Oryzias latipes: one gene and its partners. The protein of the gene in region 1 interacts with the protein of each later gene in a biochemical or structural test. Links are inferred from orthologs where the notes say so. Each region holds a gene or a part of one and is shown in the gene's direction. Other genes may lie near its edges. The genes, in order: membrane-associated guanylate kinase, WW and PDZ domain-containing protein 3; beta-2 adrenergic receptor; adrb1.

Region 1 (5,617 bases):
TGAACACCATATGCTAAAAGGTTTGTTCAAGAACTTCATCATCACACTGTGTGTACGCAGCATCAGTTAGACAGTGAATTATTGAGAAAATCTAAAGGAATCAACGACCATCACTTCCACATGCAAAAGAACCGGTGAGTTTCTACTGCGTGGATCCGATTTCTGTCTTTTGTGGGTTGGACATGATAACCCCACGATTCTGGTTGCACTGATGCCTGGGAGCCCCAGCGCCGCAGCTGGCAAGAGTCGGCGTGAAATCGGAACAGAGAGAGTAATTATTTTTAATGTTTAACTCTCCCTGGAGAAGGAGGGTAATTGACTGTGCCAAAAAGATGAATGTAATTAGTTTCATTGGGTTTTAACAACGAGCAGTAGCCTGGAACTGCTTTTTCTGCCACATCAGGGTTTATTCCTGCCAACACTGAACTGCCTCAACAATCTGGAGATATATGCTACAGTTGCCATTTTGGGGGTTGTTAGATGAGGCATCGGGGTACGTTTGGGTGGGAGCCAGTGCATTTTTTTAAGGAGTTGAGCGGAAGAGAGAAACCGTGGCTGTGTTTTCTGAGAAGGGTATTGATTGTGTCGGCGGGTCGGAATAATCTTTTTCCGATCGTCCATATACCACGCAATTCAACCAACCAGGGGTGCAACGCTCTACCCTTATGGAGGGGAGATGCTCTTGTTTACATTCTGTCCTTTTCCGTTAGGTGATGTGATTGTGGAGATTAACGAGGCCTGCGTGTTGGGGAAGACTCACGCCGACGTGGTGCAGATGTTTCAGTCCATCCCAGTCAACCAGTACGTGGACATGGTCCTGTGCCGGGGCTACCCACTGCCCGAGGACTCCGGCAGTAACGAGGAGTCAGCAGGTGGCGCCGCGTCTTCCACGGACACCTCTCTGCCTCCGTCCACCTCCACTCCGCAGGATCCCCACTACACGATCCCAGACGGGGCGAATGTCTCTCGGCAGGTTGCCTCTGTGCCGCCCATCAGCAACGGACGTCTCAACCAACCTCACCCCGTCCATCAACACCTCCCTCAAGCCCAAGACGCTCCTGACCCGACTCTTTTGCAGCCAGAGCTAGTGAGCGTTCCGCTGGTGAAAGGTCCAGGGGGCTTTGGCTTCGCCATCGCAGACTGCCCCCTCGGACAGAAGGTGAAGATGATCCTGGATGCACAGTGGTGCCGCGGCCTGTTGAAGGGCGACGTCATCAAGGAAATCAACAGACAAAATGTTCAAACCTTGAGTCATTCCCAGGTGGTGGACATCCTGAAAGACCTAGCCGTGGGCAGCGAGGTCAGCGTGTTGGTGCTCAGAGGAGGTGAGGGATCCCAGGTCACACTGCTGCTGCAAATAATCCCCAACTAATCTTCAGAGCATCTGACAGGTGGTGAATGTTGAGTCCTGGTGTTCTGGCGTGTTGTTTAAACAATGCCATCTCTGATAATCTACCGACTTTTCTGGGATAATCGGTTTTATTCCTGTGCGGCGCAATCCTTTAAATCCCCGCCGAGGTTTTAGTCACCTGTCGTCATTTTCTTGTTTATCAAAAGCCTCCAGAGAAGGAGAAAATGCATTTCGGTGGAATTCTGTTCTCATTGTCGGGGTGCACAAACTCCTCCAATGCTAAATAAATCTTATTTTACATCCTGCTTTTGTCCACCTCCACATCCTCCACAACTGGGAGGACTCGCACGTTGATCCGTGCACAGAAGGTGGAAAAAAAGGTTGCAATTCACTTGCTGCCGTTAAAAAAAAAAAGAGAAGGAAGGAGGGCAGGGGAGGCAGAGCGTGGTGGGTTATCGCCGCCTGCCTTTCTTCCTCTGTGCTTTCAGAGATTTGAAGAGCTTGTTCCTTCTTTTGACTTTGCTGCAGTGCAGTAGCCTAGATTCAGGAGATCAGTGCTGTACCCACATATCAAAGGTAGTGATCCGGCTTCTCCGCTTAACTCCGGGGGCCTCGGCTTTTGCTGTATGTGGCGGCCCCCGATTGGTCACACGTATGCTGATTGAGCGTGTCACTTCCGAAAAGAAAAGCAGAGGTTTTCCAGGGCTAAAAGAGAAAACCACACTGGAGATCTTTCTGAAAGTTTCCTACAGGCTGAGATTAGGGGTATGACGTATGTACCGCTGCCTTGTGGGTCTAAAATATAGCAGGCAGTGAAGTCTTGTGGCCTTTAATGCAGATTTAAAAGTGTCTTCTTTCTGTTGTTGGGGCTGCAAACAGCTGTCAGGTTAATCCCAGAAAATTGTATGTTTTCCAGCACCTTAAGGTTACTCCTGTCTCTCATCTTCTAATTACATCTTTGGTAGTGGACATAAGAGCATACTGCCCTCTGCTGGTGGACTTAAACCCTTTTTCTAAATTATTTGTGCAATTTCCCCTCAAAAGTAACAGTTTTGTACTACTTTCTCCCCAGAAGCATTAATACTGCTATGTGTGCACTATATTTTCTAAATATAAAAAAAAACTCAATAGTACTAATGTTTTATTTGTTGTTGTTTTATTGGGGCAATATTCATGTTTTTGTTGATAAAAACCCTCACTTTCTCCTCTGTTTACAGGTCAGACATCTCCTGTGAAATCACTAAAACCTGTAAGTTAAACTTTCATCTCTCAGAATAGATTTTTAGATTTTTTTCTTCAGATATGGTTTTGTGTTTTAAAAATATGTTTTTGCACAAAACGGTTTCTCTGGAACGTCATGACTCAGTGTTTTTTATTGAAGTGTTTGTTTTGACTTTGTTTTAAGGTACAGGTAGAACAGTGTAAAAACCAAACAAATCGCACATTTAGCACAAATGTGCAAAGCCAACATTATTTTTTATGTTTTGAAGCACCCTTTTGACCAAAAATGTCCTCATTTAGCCCTTGTGCTATCCTAGGCACTTTAACATTGGCAGTTGGGTCATCTAGACCCACTAGACAGTGCTCTGAACCTTTTTTCTTCAATGATTTGTGATCTTCACTGGTGTCCATGGATTACATGAAATCTTTCCACCTTTATCCACCTTTGTCATGGTAGGAAGAACACGTCAATGCAAGGGTGGGATCATAGGAAAGCACAAGGGTTAAGGGTTTACTGCAAATTTTTATATGATGAAAGATATACTATGTTAAGAAGCACAAAAACAGCTGCCTGGAGAAAATAAACTGTATCCACTGCAGTCCTGTGTAAATAACAAACCTCCTAGGAAACTTGATGGATCCACTCTCACTTCTCCTAAGCAGTACGGTGGGGACATTTACGAATTTCACTACAGCCAATCCAGCCAGCTGTGTGTAGCTCTACTGCCCCCATGTGGCCTGTTTAGCTTCTAGGACTTTCTGATATCTGCTCAAAGTGCCCTTTAAAAAAAAAAAAGCCAAACAAAGCCGAGGTCATTTTATAACAAAACTGAGGAGAAACTGCAGTAAAAACTCAGACAACAATTTTGGATTTAGACAGTTTGTCCAAAACGTAGCAAGAAAAGAACATGAAAAAAGAGAATGCTGATGTTTCTTTTCTAAAGGTTTGTGTGGGATCGCGGCTTTCTCTGTGTTTGAGCAGCTGCATTACTCAGGGAGCCCACGTCTACCAGATTGTTATTTTAGGCAGTGCATGTGGGTAAACATGTTGGCTTTGTGCAGGCAGCACCTTAAGGTCCCTCTGCGTTTGCTGTGTAAGATGATACGCCGCATTCAAGAGTCCCCGTGCTGCTTCTCATTACCGCGCTTAGAAAAACATAAAAACGAGCTGGGGCAGGAACAGAAACAGCCTCGGCTTTGTTTGCGTCGGCCTGCTATTTTCAGTGAATTTAAATGTGCCTTAAAAAATGCTCCATCGACCACCTTGCAGTTAAGGAAAAAAGCTGAAATAACAGATAACTCCCGTCCACCTGGGCTCATTCGTTTTCCGCCTGTTTCCGTGCTGCAGGTCACAGCGCCCGTGTCCCACACCGTTTCGCAGCCTGTCCTTGAACAAGCGCCGCTTCCTGTTCCCCAGCAGCTACCCCACCCACCCTCACACCACCACCTCCAGCAGCAGCAGCAGGAGATGATCAGCAGCACTGAGACCCTCACTCAGTCCGACGTGACTCCCAACTCTCTCCCCGTCTCCAGCGGCACCTTGCGCTCATCTTCGCCCAAACCAGACGCCTCCGAGCTCTACCTCAGGTCCAAAGCCATCCTGGACAGCAAGCGTAAGTCAAAACTTTCACTTTTAACAGCTTCCTTTGACGGGATCTGAGCCCAAACTCCAGACATTTCTGAAACAGTGATCAGAATTATAGATCTACTTTCAGTAGTCCCTGTCTTGTATTTATACGAGGTTCAGTTTCATGTTAATTTAAAACTGAAACCAGTTAAGTGTTTCAACATAAGTACAAGAAAACCAACATACCCGATAAACCAATGGAAAACATAGGATTTCTTTTTAAGTGAATGTTTTTTGTTTTAAATCCATACTTAAACACTGCAGAAGCTCTTTAAAGGAATCAAACTACAAGCAGTAAAGTTCAGGATACACACAGATGGGAGAGGAGGACCAACACAAAACAAAAAGACAGAAACTAAACAACAGGAAACCCTCATGATCTAGACGCCGTGACCTTGAAGATGTCATAACCTTAAAGAAGATTTGGAGCTACGTGTATATTATGTGGAAGATAATTCCAGTTTTAGCGTAAAGTTTTACTCAGACCTGTTCACTCTGGTGAAGGTCACAGAGGTCACAGCTTTAGGACTGCTGGCCCTGACTGAGTGGAGGGTGGCGTATCAACAAGATATCTCATAACTCCCACCTTAAATAAAATGACACCGTCAAATATTTATACTTTTGTATTCATTTAAACTCTTTTCTTGCTTTTTGCAGCACCAAACACAAAAGAGCTGGATGTGTTTATAAAAAGGAACCAGGAGTCTGGTTTCGGCTTCAGGGTTCTGGGAGGCGAGGGCCCGGATCAGCCTGTGAGTGTTTTCACCTGCAGTGCCCGTTTCTCTGATATTTCAGACTATTGGGTTTGAGATGTTTTGAAGCTTTCACAGTACTGTTTGGTCCACACGTGAGTTTGTTTGCTTTGATCGTTTGTGACGAGTGTGAAAGCTCTTCTGAAATGGACCAAACAAGCCACGAAGGATTTGCTAGCTTGCAAATGAACCCTGGTGCGGCTCAGCTACAGTGTGAATGCTGACAGAATAGTTGACAAACCAAAGAAAGTGAAATCAATGACTGAACACTATTCAGTTAGGAGTGCAAAAAAACAAATATAAAAAGCCACATTTGGGAAAAGTTTCAACAGTTATTGCAGTGAAAGCAGTCATCTATAATAAATGGTCAGAAGACTAGCTAGTTGTGTTCTTTAATGCTACCACTTACCCTGAACGTGGACTGGGTTTTAATATTAAGTCAAAGTACAGACACAATAAGACTTCCTGTGGTGCATTTTGAGCAGGAAAGGCGGTACAACTCTCTAATGGCATCCACGTTTTGGGCGGGGCAGCATTTCCGCCTTACTTTTAGCATCACGTTTTGGTAGCACGGTGCAGTTTTGACATGCGTCAATATTTTCTGTGAGCGGTGCATTGTCGTTTCCAAAGTTCAAACATCTGACCTTTAGCAAAGCATCACCTCGT
Region 2 (6,282 bases), on another chromosome or scaffold:
CTCTCACTTTACTTAGTCCATGTAAATAAGGCTGCTAACTATTGTCCAATTGGAAGAAAACCTGCTTAGTTATTTAGTCCTTTGAACATGTGGCCAACATGGAGAACAGCAAGTCAGCTCTCATCCCTCTGCTTTATGTTGCCCTAGCTGGTCTCTGCTCAAATCAGACTCCTCCCTCCTCAGTTTCCAAACAGGAATTACCCACTGGTTTCAAGAAGCCAGAATTCCAGACTTTTATTGCAAAATGAACAGATTTCATACAGTTATTATATATGACAAAATAATCATTTTTCTTTGAAAACTTTTTTTTTACACATTTTTGCAAATCCGTTTTTTTTTTCATGAAACCTTTTCTTTATTGCAAGTTGTACATGTTAAAAACTGTCCAATCAGATGCTTCAATTAATGTATGCAGTGCCTTCTGGCCCCCACATTGAACATTTAAAAATGTTTGACAGATTCTCCCAAAGTTTACTTTTGGACTTCCAGCAAGTTTAGTCCTGATTGATGAGAGTGGTTGCCATAGAAACAATGATTCAGACATACTTGGACCCATTGCTGCTTATTGACGTTGTCTCGTTTTGCAAAAAAATGGTGACTTCATTTGGTTGGAGCCGAAGTAAGCCATTTACTAGGAATGACGTCACACTGGCCCGGTGCAGTTTTCTTTTACAGTCAATGGTTATAACTCATTTCATGATGACATCAACAAAAAAACTGCAGGTTGCCCTTTTTTACCAAATCTTTAAAGAAAAGCAGTTTTGAAAATACCAAATGATCTACATTTTTTTTATTTTGTTGAAAGAGATGTGCAAATGTGGATTTGTTTTGCATCCTGAACATGGCCTGAATTTCAGCCTGACCCAATAAATAACAGTGCTCCTTTATTTCTTCTATATACTAACAAACAGGCAAGATGACCATGCCATAAGAATGGTCACTTTGCCAATGGTAATTTAGGTCACACATTTACGTCATCTCATTGTTCACCTTGTGACTGTAAAAAGATGAAACACCTTGATAAATGTCAAAGTGTATTCCCATGAAGGATTTCTTCTAAATGAGGGCTCAGACATATGGCATCTCTTATCTTTAATCTTGTCATGCCTTGAAAATCCACCACGAAACACCAGGTTTTGGTTTCTATGGTTGGTGTTAATGCAGGTATATAATCCAAAAAACGTCAAGCATCCTCTATTTAATCTCAGGAGTGGAACTGTCTTTGGATTTTTTCCAAACCACGTACGCTCTAATCTATCTAATGTGCGTAGAAGAAAATTATGCAATTCAAGATTTTGCGCAATTGAGCAAAAATCTTTGTGATCTTTAAGCAAAAAATCAGCGGTAAAAAACACATTACAACAGTCTCAAACATTTGCAAAAATCTTTGTTGTTTTCTTTTTCTGTAGTTTGTAAACCTTTTAAGACCTGTAACCTAAAAGGATAAATAAAATGTGCACGTTTATTGATACTTGCACATTTAATACACCTTCGAGAAAAAATACTTTAAAAAAAGGCTGAAGTACAAAAGTGTCACAAAAGATTAGGTTAAAGGGTTAGGATTGAGGGTATTGGATCATTTTATTACAGAATCATTTTTAAAAAGAGATATATTAACTTAAAAGAATTCAATAAGCATTGAAGACTTTCCGTGAAGTGTTTTTACGCATTCACAAACCAAGCAGAACTATCATTGCATTGTTGAAATTTGAATAAATGAGGTTTAGTTTGCATAGATCACATGTATGGAATAAATGTGGTCATAAAAGTGCAAATTTGTTCTTGATCCTCAAAGGCTTTCTTTTAGCTCTTGCTGTGAAGATCACTGCGCCTTTTACGTACCAAAACACTGAGGTCATTTTTACAGTTTGACCTTTGGATGTTAAAATGTAAGCATATGTTCTTGTATTGGCGAAGGTCCTGATTTTTATATAAAAGAGCAGCCTACAAAACTCAAAGGTTTTGTCAGGACAAGAAGTGTGTTAAAGCTCCAATCCAACCACTCAATAGATCTTGACAAAATTCACTGAGCTACACTTGCCAGTTGGATCACTTGTGAATCCAGCCTGATCTTACAAATGCTCAAAAAATGCTTTAACTAGTTTTAATTGGATACAGATTCACAAGCATGAAGCTGTAAACTCATACAGGAACATAGCATAACAGGAAGTAGACTTTATGACTCGAGCTGAAATACAGCTCGTAGATTTCAGTACAAATTTGCAGGTTTTTTAAATATGTAAATGTTTGCCTGTGTTGGCTGCCGTATGTCTCATGCAGCCCTGCAGCAGCAGCTGTTGGGACAGTGTGTTCAAACTCCTGTGAGCGCTCAGCACCCTCCACAGGCTAGTGCGCTGATTGGCTGAGCTCTGACTGTGATGTCACCATTGCATGCTATAAGGACTCTGAGACACATCAGAGGAAACACTGCTCAACGGAACGACTTGGTAGAGAGACAACTGGAGCTCAACCCGAACAAAAAGTACAGGGGCATGTGAGCCTTGCCAGTCTTACAGGAAGTATTTCAACACTGACATTCTGACATTTTTATGGGAGGCTGGGAGCAAAACAACGACCTGTCGAGGTTGGTATTTTTGCTCTTTCTTGACTCAACTTGTTTTTAAAGCATGGAGCCAAAAAGGTCGTTATGGCTGGTGCCTCTGCTGTGTTTTTTTTAATCTTTTGTTGCTTTGCTTGTTTTTTTGTTTCAGATACAAACATTCATGTTTTAAACTTTATTATTGCTGCATTTATTTAGTTCCCATAAGTTAGATACATGTTTGAATTGTGCACTTCCCCTCTTTTTACTGTGTCTGATGATTTTCTGCATGTGATTTCTTCAGATGGGAGTTACAGTCTCTCCAGTCTACTCGAATGTGAGCACTACGTCATTGTCCAACAACGAGACGGGCCACAACGAGATGGGCCTCAACGAGACAGGCCACAGTGAGACGGCTATGATCCTGATGGGCATCGGAATGTCTTTTCTGGTGCTGTGCATTGTCTTTGGAAACATCCTGGTCATAACAGCAATCGCTCGCTTTCAGCGTCTCCAAACTGTCACCAACTGCTTCGTCACATCTCTGGCGTGTGCAGACCTGGTCATGGGTCTCATTGTGGTTCCCTTTGGTGCTTTAAACATCATCTTCGTTAAATGGCACTTTGGTAAATTCTGGTGCGACTTCTGGACTGCCACAGATGTCCTCTGCGTGACTGCAAGCATCGGGACCCTTTGTGTCATCGCTATTGACCGTTACGTGGCCATTACTGCACCCTTCCGCTACCAGTCACTATTGACAAAGTGCAGAGCTCGAATTGTGGTCATCTTTATATGGGTGATTGCTGCTTTGACATCCTACCCGCCCATTCATATGAACGTGTGGAGATCCAATACATCGGAAGCTGAGAAATGTCTTAATAAAACAGACTGCTGCCAGTTTCACACAAACATACAATATGGAATCACCTCCTCCATCATCTCCTTCTACATCCCTTTGATCATCATGGTTTTTGTCTACAGCCGTGTTTTCCTGGCGGCCAAAAGGCAGCTAAAAAAGATTAACCAAAGCGTTGGACGCTTTCATGTAGATTCTTCGGAGGACAAGAATGGCCGTGGACAAAAGAAGGCAAAGTTTTACTTGCGTGAACACAAAGCCCTGAAAACTTTGGGTATCATAATGGGGACCTTTACTCTTTGCTGGCTACCATTCTTCATCCTTAATGTAATCGCGTCCATATGGAACGTGAACAACTATAGCGTATTTATGATTCTGAACTGGATAGGCTATTCAAACTCTATGTTCAACCCTGTCATTTACTGCCGGAGTCCTGAGTTCAGGTACGCTTTCAAGGAACTCCTGTGCATCAGGAGGAACCATCTGAGCCACCAAGGCCAAACAAATGGATACATCTACAGCAGGCACAGCTGGCAGAGTGAGCAGCAAGGGAGGAGCAAGTGCAACTCGGAGGACAGTGATGCCAATGAGGCTTGTCTGATAAAAGGTGCAGGGGTGGGCAGTGGTGTGGACAGAGCCATAGACCCCAATGGAAACTGCAACAAAGGTATAACGACTGTCACAACTGCCCTTTAAGCACGGACCACCGACCCTTCAGTCAACAGAGAAAGATGAAAGCCTATACACTTATGAACATTTAGGGCTTTTCTCTCAATCGCTGATTAAGGTAAGGCCAGTCAAAGTGGCTGGCAGTGTTTCAAAAGTGTTTCAGAGAACCTGCAACGATCACATCAAGCTGAGGAACATTTTTTTTAAGTTAAACATAGTGACTACATATTGTAATGTATTTTTTTTATTACATGATGACTACATCTACCTCCCTAACGGCTTTACAGTGTTAGTTTCTTTACCGGCTTACATTCTTACCTTTGGAGTTAAACGAGAGCGATGTCTCAGCTGTGTGTTGAGCCTAATAAATGGCGTGTGAATAGTACATTTGCAGATTATAAGGCTTCATCCAAAACCTTAGGGCATGCTTTATTTATTTTTTGCTCTTTCTTGAGGAGGGAAGCCACAGTTTTTTGTATGGTATAAAACTGTATTTGAGATTTTCCATGCGATTTTTCTTCCAATGCAAAGAATGGATTTTTGAACCAGTCTTGGTCTTTGCATCAAAAATTACATTCCGACAACACTTGAGGAATCTATTAAGTTGTAATCTTTTTTTCAGGGAGCTATATTGGCTACGCGTGAGGCAAAACACGTCTCAGTCCTGCTCTACTGTGCAAGACTGTGTTTAAAGGAGTTTATGTTGTCAGCAGAAAGCACAAGAGATATGGCTGGCTAATCTAGATCCTAATGCTGAGCCTAAGGAACGCCTGTAGCTGTTGGGTTAATGCCATCATAAAACATCAAAGCTTGTTTTATCAGATAACGAACCGTAAAATACCTATAATTTTTGGGAGGAACGCTAAGTGCAATAATATAAAACTTGGGCTGAAATGCTCACCGTTTTCATAAATTCAAACATTTCTTTTGGCTTGTTACATATACCTGAACTATGTCTATTTTCCACTTGTTGCAAATCTAAAACCACTTTTTTGTTACAAATAACAGTGAGAACGACGATTCTTTTTCTTCTGTGCGACAAATTTGAACCATAGTTGACCCATAGCTGCATGAGCCTTGTTTGTTTATCAGATTTTGCAGTTGCCATGTTTCAGTATGTGCACAGTTTACCGCAACCAGAGAAGCTGTTTCCTCATAGTGCAAGGGTACAGACAACACGTAATCATAAACAGGGTGTGAATGCAGCCAAATGACAAAGTTCTAGCACCAAGCCATAACGGTGAAGTCAGCAACCAGACAGAAAAAAGAAAAAATCCAAAGCTTGTATTCAGTACACTCATTGTTTTTATCTGGCTATCTCTTTTCTTGTGTGTGTAATCATTGTGCCATTTGGACAAGAGACACGGGAGCCTGCAAAAACGTGCCTCGGCTTCAGTCGTTTCAGTCAGTTTTGGTCAGTCTTATTTAAATGCCCCTTAATGTGCAGCCTGGAGAAAAGGCAGCTGAGCCCTGATCCAATAAACACAAACACATCTCCTGTTTAGCTGAAGAATCATCATAAAAGGGATCCAGAGGACCAACCTAAAATGATTTTCTTTCTTGTCATTCACTTTAAAACTTCAAGGAAGACTATCGTGGACAATAAGCACTTAGCACAAAGGGCACGATTGCAAGCCTATTAAGAGTAAAGGAAAGTGTTGATGTAGCTGCAGCACCTTTCCTTAGTGAGTTTGGCAGAAGTATGATCTTGTCAAAGGGACTGAACACTAAATGTAGCTCCTAAGACAGGAGGGGGACCAGGGACTCTGCCAGGCTAAATCTGTGTTAGTGACTTGTATTTTTGTGCATGTAGCATCGCCTCTGACCGGGGTTAGATTTGCTGACACTTTCAAAGCTGTGAACTTTGTTCCTCCAGAGGAAACCTCTTATGTACTGTATCGCACGGTTTGGTGAGCGCTGTTATCACAGACCTTAGGAGTCGACGTAAACACAGTGTCATCATACGTCAATGTTTGCCATGTGAAAAACAAGCTTTCCAGTGTGCTGATCTTTTTCTGTTTTTCTTCTTTGCGGATTTACAGCAAAGTAAATGTACAAGGTTGAATGTCATAGGAAATGTTTCTTTTAGACTTTTATTTTAACATTTCCACTGTACAGCATGCCAAAAGCACAAATCTGATATTAGACCAAGTTTGTACATATCTCCTTCAAAAAACAAAACAAAAAAAGGCACTAATTTACCAACACACCAGTCTTT
Region 3 (6,056 bases), on another chromosome or scaffold:
AAAATCTGCATACATCAGATGATTTACTTTAAAACCACCAACCATGCAACCGCTAATACAAGCATTCAGAACCTTTGACAGGTCATCTACAGGTTAAAACATGCGTTTACATAAGCTTTTCGTTGAAAGTGCTTGCCAAATGGGGTGTGAACGTACCCGGTAGCTTGATGAGTCGGGAAGAGTGATTGAAAAAAATGTATTCAGGCGTCCTAGCGTTCATGGGGGACAGGGGTTTCCAAGTACGTTCTCTGGGGGTTTGTTGATGGGAGCTCTGTGTTTGTTTGTTTTTTCCACAGATGCCATCACTTCCCATAAGATCACCTTCTTGTTGTTCTCCCTTTCACCTCTGGCATTGTATAAAATCACCTTAAGCTGGTTTGGGAGTTTCAAAGGAATTTTTTTGTAGGTCACTTGTTTGAACTGCTGACTTTAAAAAACAGTATATATGTATGCATTTGTCAAGGCTGCACTCACCTTTCTCCACCCTTACTGTTAAAATGCTGCACACTTGCACTGTTTTTGCAGAGATTTCCCTGAGATTTGGCCTTGTCCCTGAATGCACCTCAAGCATCCTTACCCAGCATATCCCACCCAGACCACTGACGTCGGCATTTTGCCTAAAACTCCTTAAGTTAGCAGTTTTTAAAACAATACGATATGACTCAAGGAGATGCTATAACAGACCCAGTTTCATGGACCTCTTTGCTCACTGAGTTCATTTGCACTCAGCCTTACTAGCAGCCTGTAAATCCCTCCTTACAGCATTCCTCGAGTAGTGCTTTTGTTGTGCAACTGGTCTGCATGAAGGTTTAGAGAAATTTTCTAAGGAATTGGCAGAAAAAGTTCTGGCTTAGATCTTTGCACAGTTCATATTTCTTCTTTACAAGAAAACATGTGGGAATCAAAATCTAACCCCCATACACTAAATTTTAAGGCTGTTTCTATGAATTTTAAATTTTTATTTTTTAATTAGCTCTTACAATTGAATGAGTACAGTTACAAAAACAAAAAGGTTTCCCCCATAGACAGGGTCTGCAACCTGAGACTCTGGAGCCTCAGGTTTTCCTCAACAGTGGCGGAAAAAGGGTTAATAACTTGAAGAAATAATAGGCTTCTGGTTCGGATAGTTTTAAAGATTTTGTCATAAAAGATCGAAATGGTGGTTGTTCATTTACAATCAGCGTGCAATAAATATAATAAAAAGTATTGTTGTTAACGTCAACTGTTTTTGACCATAAATAGCTGGAGAACCATTTCTATCATGTTTTTTATGTATTTATTTTCAGCTGATAAAACAAAACCTAAACAGCATAAACAGAAATTTAACAATGATTGACAATATTTAAAGTTTGTAAAAAGGGATTTGGATGAACATTAAAAGTCCCCTTTTTTTTCAGTTGGAAGGTTGTGAGTTCAAATCCAGGCCGAGTCATACCAAAGACTCTAAAAGTTTTTTTTGATTCTTTTTATTTATTACATTTTAATAAATAATTAATAATTAAAATAAATAATAATTTGATCTGAATTCAGTCTCTAAAGTTTATATTTATACAAACTGTATTTTTTGCATATTACAAAAGGTTGAGACTGAAAACAAACAGAGAAGGTTTTCAGGAAGAAAGTAAATATCAATGAATCTTATTTATTCCTTTATTTCTATTGCGTATATCACCCTTTTACAATTGTTTTAAAAACTTTTTTATATTTTCAATTTTTAATGTCTTTCTTGCAATTATTCCACATGTGAACTGGGGTTTTTTAGTCTTAAATAAAATGATATAGCTCTGTTTATGAATGTCATCTGTCAAACCTGACTAAATTAACCAACAAGCTTTCAACGTAAGACTATTTGTCTTAAGAGGACTGAGGACAGAGGACTGTGGACAGAGGACTGTGAACAGAGTCCTGCGTTTGCCGCTTCTCTTTGGACCAAAATAGGAAAATTCTAAAATGGTCCTCAGAAATATATTTTGGTGTTTATTATTGGAGCTGAATGAAGAATTTGAGAGTTTATGATTCCCAACCAACCATTCACTTGAGGTGAAACTAATCCAAAAGAACAAGGAAAGCCTCTAATTGGCCCCTGAGCTTAAGGGGTCTAACCCATGACTCCTGAATGTGGATTTAGATTGAAAGTACTTTTCCAGCAATGAGGTCACTTTAAATATGATAAAAATAAGCTTTCCCAGGTTTATTTTCTCAAAAACAACCAGTCTGTCTATCTTAGGGTCACTTGAGGGATGTTAAGACTGCTTCATGGTTGATGTCATGTTTCAGCTTCAGACGAGGGGTCACAGAGGTCATGAGGAGTGGTCCAGAAATAAATCCAGCTTCTTCTTTGGTGTTTAAACTTTAAACGCTTGCCGTTCAGTCAGTTCCCATCTGGAGCTCTTCATGTTCATTTGAACCACTCAGCCCGTGGACAAGGAGAAGAGAGGTTGTCGACAAGGAATCTGGGAATTCTGACTGCCAGTCAAACCCAGCGTAGCTTTATGGCTTCTGATAAGGTGGGAGTCGATCTCAAGGGAAGCATTTCTGGAGGTAAAAATATAAATGTGGAACAACAAATCTGGTTTGCCATGGAGGGTGATGAAAGCGGGAAAATCCCTCTGGATTTTCACTTTTGGCCTGGTGTTCCCACAGTGCTGGAATTTTTTTTTTCAGGAAACAGGGACAGTTTGTGTTAGTAAGTAACAAACATAAAGTGGTGCGTTTTAGGGTGTTTTATTTTCAGAAATATGATACAAAAAAGAGGCCGAAGTTGATGTTGCCTCCTCTGATCCACTGGGACCTTTGTTCCACTGGACTGCCTGATTGGTCGCACTGATTGATGATGTCACCCGTGTTTCAGTCCCCGCTGGGGGGGCATCAAGCGCAGAAGAAGAAAGCAGCTCCAGATGGAGTTTGCGCGCGCTGGGATTGGAGCTGCGTCTCTGTCGAGCGCAGCAGAAGGAAACGGCTGCTGCGCGCTGCCTGAATGAACTCACCCTGCTGTCAAACGCAGCGCAGCAACGCGCCATGGGGGACGGCGGCGCGTCCTCTCCAGTGACCCCCCACAACGGCACTGGAACCGAGGCGTCCAACGGGCAGGGCACCGTTCCAGCCGCGTCCGAGCAGTGGACAGCAGGCATGAGTCTGGTGATGGCTTTGATTGTGCTGTCCATTGTTTTTGGGAATATCCTGGTGATCTTGGCCATAGCCAGGACGCAGAGGCTGCAGACCCTCACCAATGTGTTCATCGTATCGCTGGCCAGTGCAGATCTCATCATGGGCTTACTTGTTGTGCCGTTTGGCGCTGTGCTCGAGGTGCGCGGCTTGTGGCTTTACGGCTCTTTTTTCTGTGAGATCTGGACCTCTGTGGATGTCCTCTGCGTCACCGCCAGCATAGAGACCCTGTGCGTAATCGCCATAGACAGGTACGTGGCCATCACTTCACCTTTCCGCTACCAAAGCTTGTTAACCAAAAGTCGGGCCAAAGCGGTGGTGTGTGTGGTGTGGGCCATCTCTGCGCTGGTCTCCTTCCTCCCCATCCTGATGCACTGGTCCCGCGACAGCATGGACACGGACTGCTACGAAAACCCCCAATGCTGCGACTTTGTCACCAACAGGGCATATGCCATCTCCTCCTCCGTTATCTCCTTCTACATTCCTCTCGTGGTGATGATTTTTGTTTACGCACGCGTGTACAGAGAAGCGAAAAAGCAGCTCAAAAAGATCGACAAGTGTGAGGGCAGGTTTCACAACACCCTGACAGGGCTGACCTCCAAGTGCAAGAAGAGACCTTCAAAGATCTTGGCGCTCAGGGAGCAAAAGGCGCTGAAAACTCTGGGAATCATCATGGGGACGTTCACTCTGTGCTGGCTGCCCTTCTTCATAGTCAACGTTGTGCGCGTATTTTGCGCAGAGCTTGTGGACAAGAACGTCTTCGTGTTCCTGAACTGGCTGGGTTACGTGAACTCTGCCTTTAACCCAATTATTTACTGCCGGAGTCCGGACTTCAGGAAGGCTTTTAAGAGGCTGCTGTGCTGCCCGAGGCAAGCCGATCGCAGGCTGCACATCAGCTCCTGCGACCTGACGCGCTGCTCCGGCGGGTTCGTGTCAGCGCTGGAGCCTGGCACGCTGGAGATGTGGTCCGACTGCGCCGTGTTGGACAGCAGCGACAGCATCCTGGTGGGGACGAAGCTGCCGCGATCTGAATCCCAGCTGTGAGGTGGATTAATGCACTCTTATGGGAAACTCAAAAACAAAACAGAAATAACTTGATGATCCTTCTTTCTCAAAAGCTGTGCGTAAAAGTCATCCTCCAAATTAGCTAGAATTTTTTTATTGCAATTTCCCATCTGAATCAATTCACAATGCCGACGGATAACGATTTATTTTATATAAATCTGCACTTTGACTAATTAAAACGCAAATCTTCCTTTCATGGAGGAAGAACGAACACCTAAGCAGAAAATGTTTCATCATAAATCCGTGGGATAACTTTCTTCTCTCCTCTCTGGAGAAGGGGAGAAAAAAAAATATTGCTCCACCTTAACGAAGTACAACAGTTCATCTGTAAATGGCGGCTGATGCGCACTTTTCATGAGCAAAAACCTTTTGTCCAAGTGTTCAATTCCTCTTACAATGTGTTTTACCTCACAGCAAAGACAAGTGCAATTTGTATGACATGTTGTTGTTTATATTAAACATGATGTAAAATAGCTCTGCATTTACTCTGTCTTTTTCAGCTGGGAAATGAAGGACAGGTGATTGTATATAATGAAGTGTTAAGCACTAAAGGGAGGAAACTGGGCCTCTCTGACTGTCTGTCTCTCTTATTTTAAATGCTGTTATGAGGTGGTGCTTCTGTGAAAATAAAAGATGGTTTCATTCTTAAATGTTGGAGCTTTTATTTCCTTCCAGGGAGCAATGACACTAAACTTCTCCACATATTTTTGAATATTTTCCTTTTTCATCAGCTACAAAGTAAGAATAGAAGAGGTATTTTATTTGAAATGTATATGGCATCAGGTGATGCTTTCAATGCGTGGATTAGGACTGCTGGATCAGGGTCAATCAATTAGCAAACAGCTTTTTCTTCTTTTCCTTTCGGCTTTTCCCTACAGGGATTCCCACAGCCAATCAGCTTTCTCCATCTAACCCTGTCTTCTGCACCCTCACCTTTAATACCAGCTACCTTTACGTCTTTGTTCACTGCATCCATAAACCTCCTCCTTGGTCTTCTTCTAGACCTCTTGCCTGGCAGCTCTAGACTCTTTCTGTCTCCTCTGGACATGCAAATCATCTCAGTCTAACTTTATCTCCAGGACTCCTGATGTACTCAGTCCTGATCCTATCCAAACAGCTGATTTACATATTTTACACTTTGGATTTAAAAGATTTTGATTATTTCTTAGCTCTACCTTGCTTTTTTCTTGTTGTTTCTGCTTCAGAATTGTCGATTTTTAAAAGAAAATTCTAAAGTTTTCAAGTTTGAGCCACTTTAAACAAAAAACAACTCTGTAAAAATCAATTATTATATAAAGATTTTTTTTATTTAGTTAAGGAGAATTTTAAAATTTAAATTGTAATTTAATCATGTAGTTTTTTAAATAGCCTAATTACTAACAAGGCTTTGGGGGGGGCATGTTCATTTTCTGCAAGAGGATATTTAATGTTAATTTTGCTGATTTTGTTCTATGCTTTTGTGCATACTTGTGAAATTTGTTCAGACTGTAAATTCTGGGATATTCTGCACACTACGTGCAAAAAGTGGGGGAAAATGCATCACTATCAGCAAGGTTTTAGGCGGAACTGAAAGATAATGAGTTAAAATCTTTGCATGAAATGAAAAAGAAAGGTTTAGTATTCTCTGCTTGTTTGCTCAAGTCTCCATCAAACGCAGCATTACATTTCAACCTCACACAGTTAACTTGAGCATTTTTTACATCGTTTGGAGGATTTTCCACAGCATTACAGACTCAAAAGCCAGGAATTTTAATGGACTAATTTGCGCTCCTGCAAACAAAGAAGTCATTTGGTAACAATGCTGCAGTTCCAGGTGGGTGAACTGG

What was found.
Region 2: the proteins of membrane-associated guanylate kinase, WW and PDZ domain-containing protein 3 (region 1) and beta-2 adrenergic receptor form a complex in vitro, tested with the Homo sapiens proteins (2 studies listed by IntAct, with this or other methods). The link is inferred for Oryzias latipes from reciprocal best matches to the Homo sapiens genes MAGI3 and ADRB2.
Region 3: the proteins of membrane-associated guanylate kinase, WW and PDZ domain-containing protein 3 (region 1) and adrb1 interact in a test that uses a peptide from one of them, tested with the Homo sapiens proteins (2 studies listed by IntAct, with this or other methods). The link is inferred for Oryzias latipes from reciprocal best matches to the Homo sapiens genes MAGI3 and ADRB1.

Annotation. Positions count from the first base shown.
Region 1 is NC_019865.2:23,163,450-23,169,066, reverse strand, and holds part of membrane-associated guanylate kinase, WW and PDZ domain-containing protein 3, read left to right. Parts: intron 1-710; coding exon 711-1,325; intron 1,326-2,568; coding exon 2,569-2,600; intron 2,601-3,920; coding exon 3,921-4,185; intron 4,186-4,856; coding exon 4,857-4,951; intron 4,952-5,617.
Region 2 is NC_019868.2:20,752,376-20,758,657, forward strand, and holds the start of beta-2 adrenergic receptor, read left to right. Parts: upstream 1-2,411; 5' UTR 2,412-2,584; intron 2,585-2,843; coding exon 2,844-4,091; 3' UTR 4,092-6,282. UniProt on the Homo sapiens protein: Beta-adrenergic receptors mediate the catecholamine-induced activation of adenylate cyclase through the action of G proteins. The beta-2-adrenergic receptor binds epinephrine with an approximately 30-fold greater affinity than it does norepinephrine.
Region 3 is NC_019877.2:5,427,954-5,434,009, forward strand, and holds adrb1 (beta-1 adrenergic receptor), read left to right. Parts: upstream 1-2,352; 5' UTR 2,353-3,018; coding exon 3,019-4,209; 3' UTR 4,210-4,880; downstream 4,881-6,056. UniProt on the Homo sapiens protein: Beta-adrenergic receptors mediate the catecholamine-induced activation of adenylate cyclase through the action of G proteins. This receptor binds epinephrine and norepinephrine with approximately equal affinity.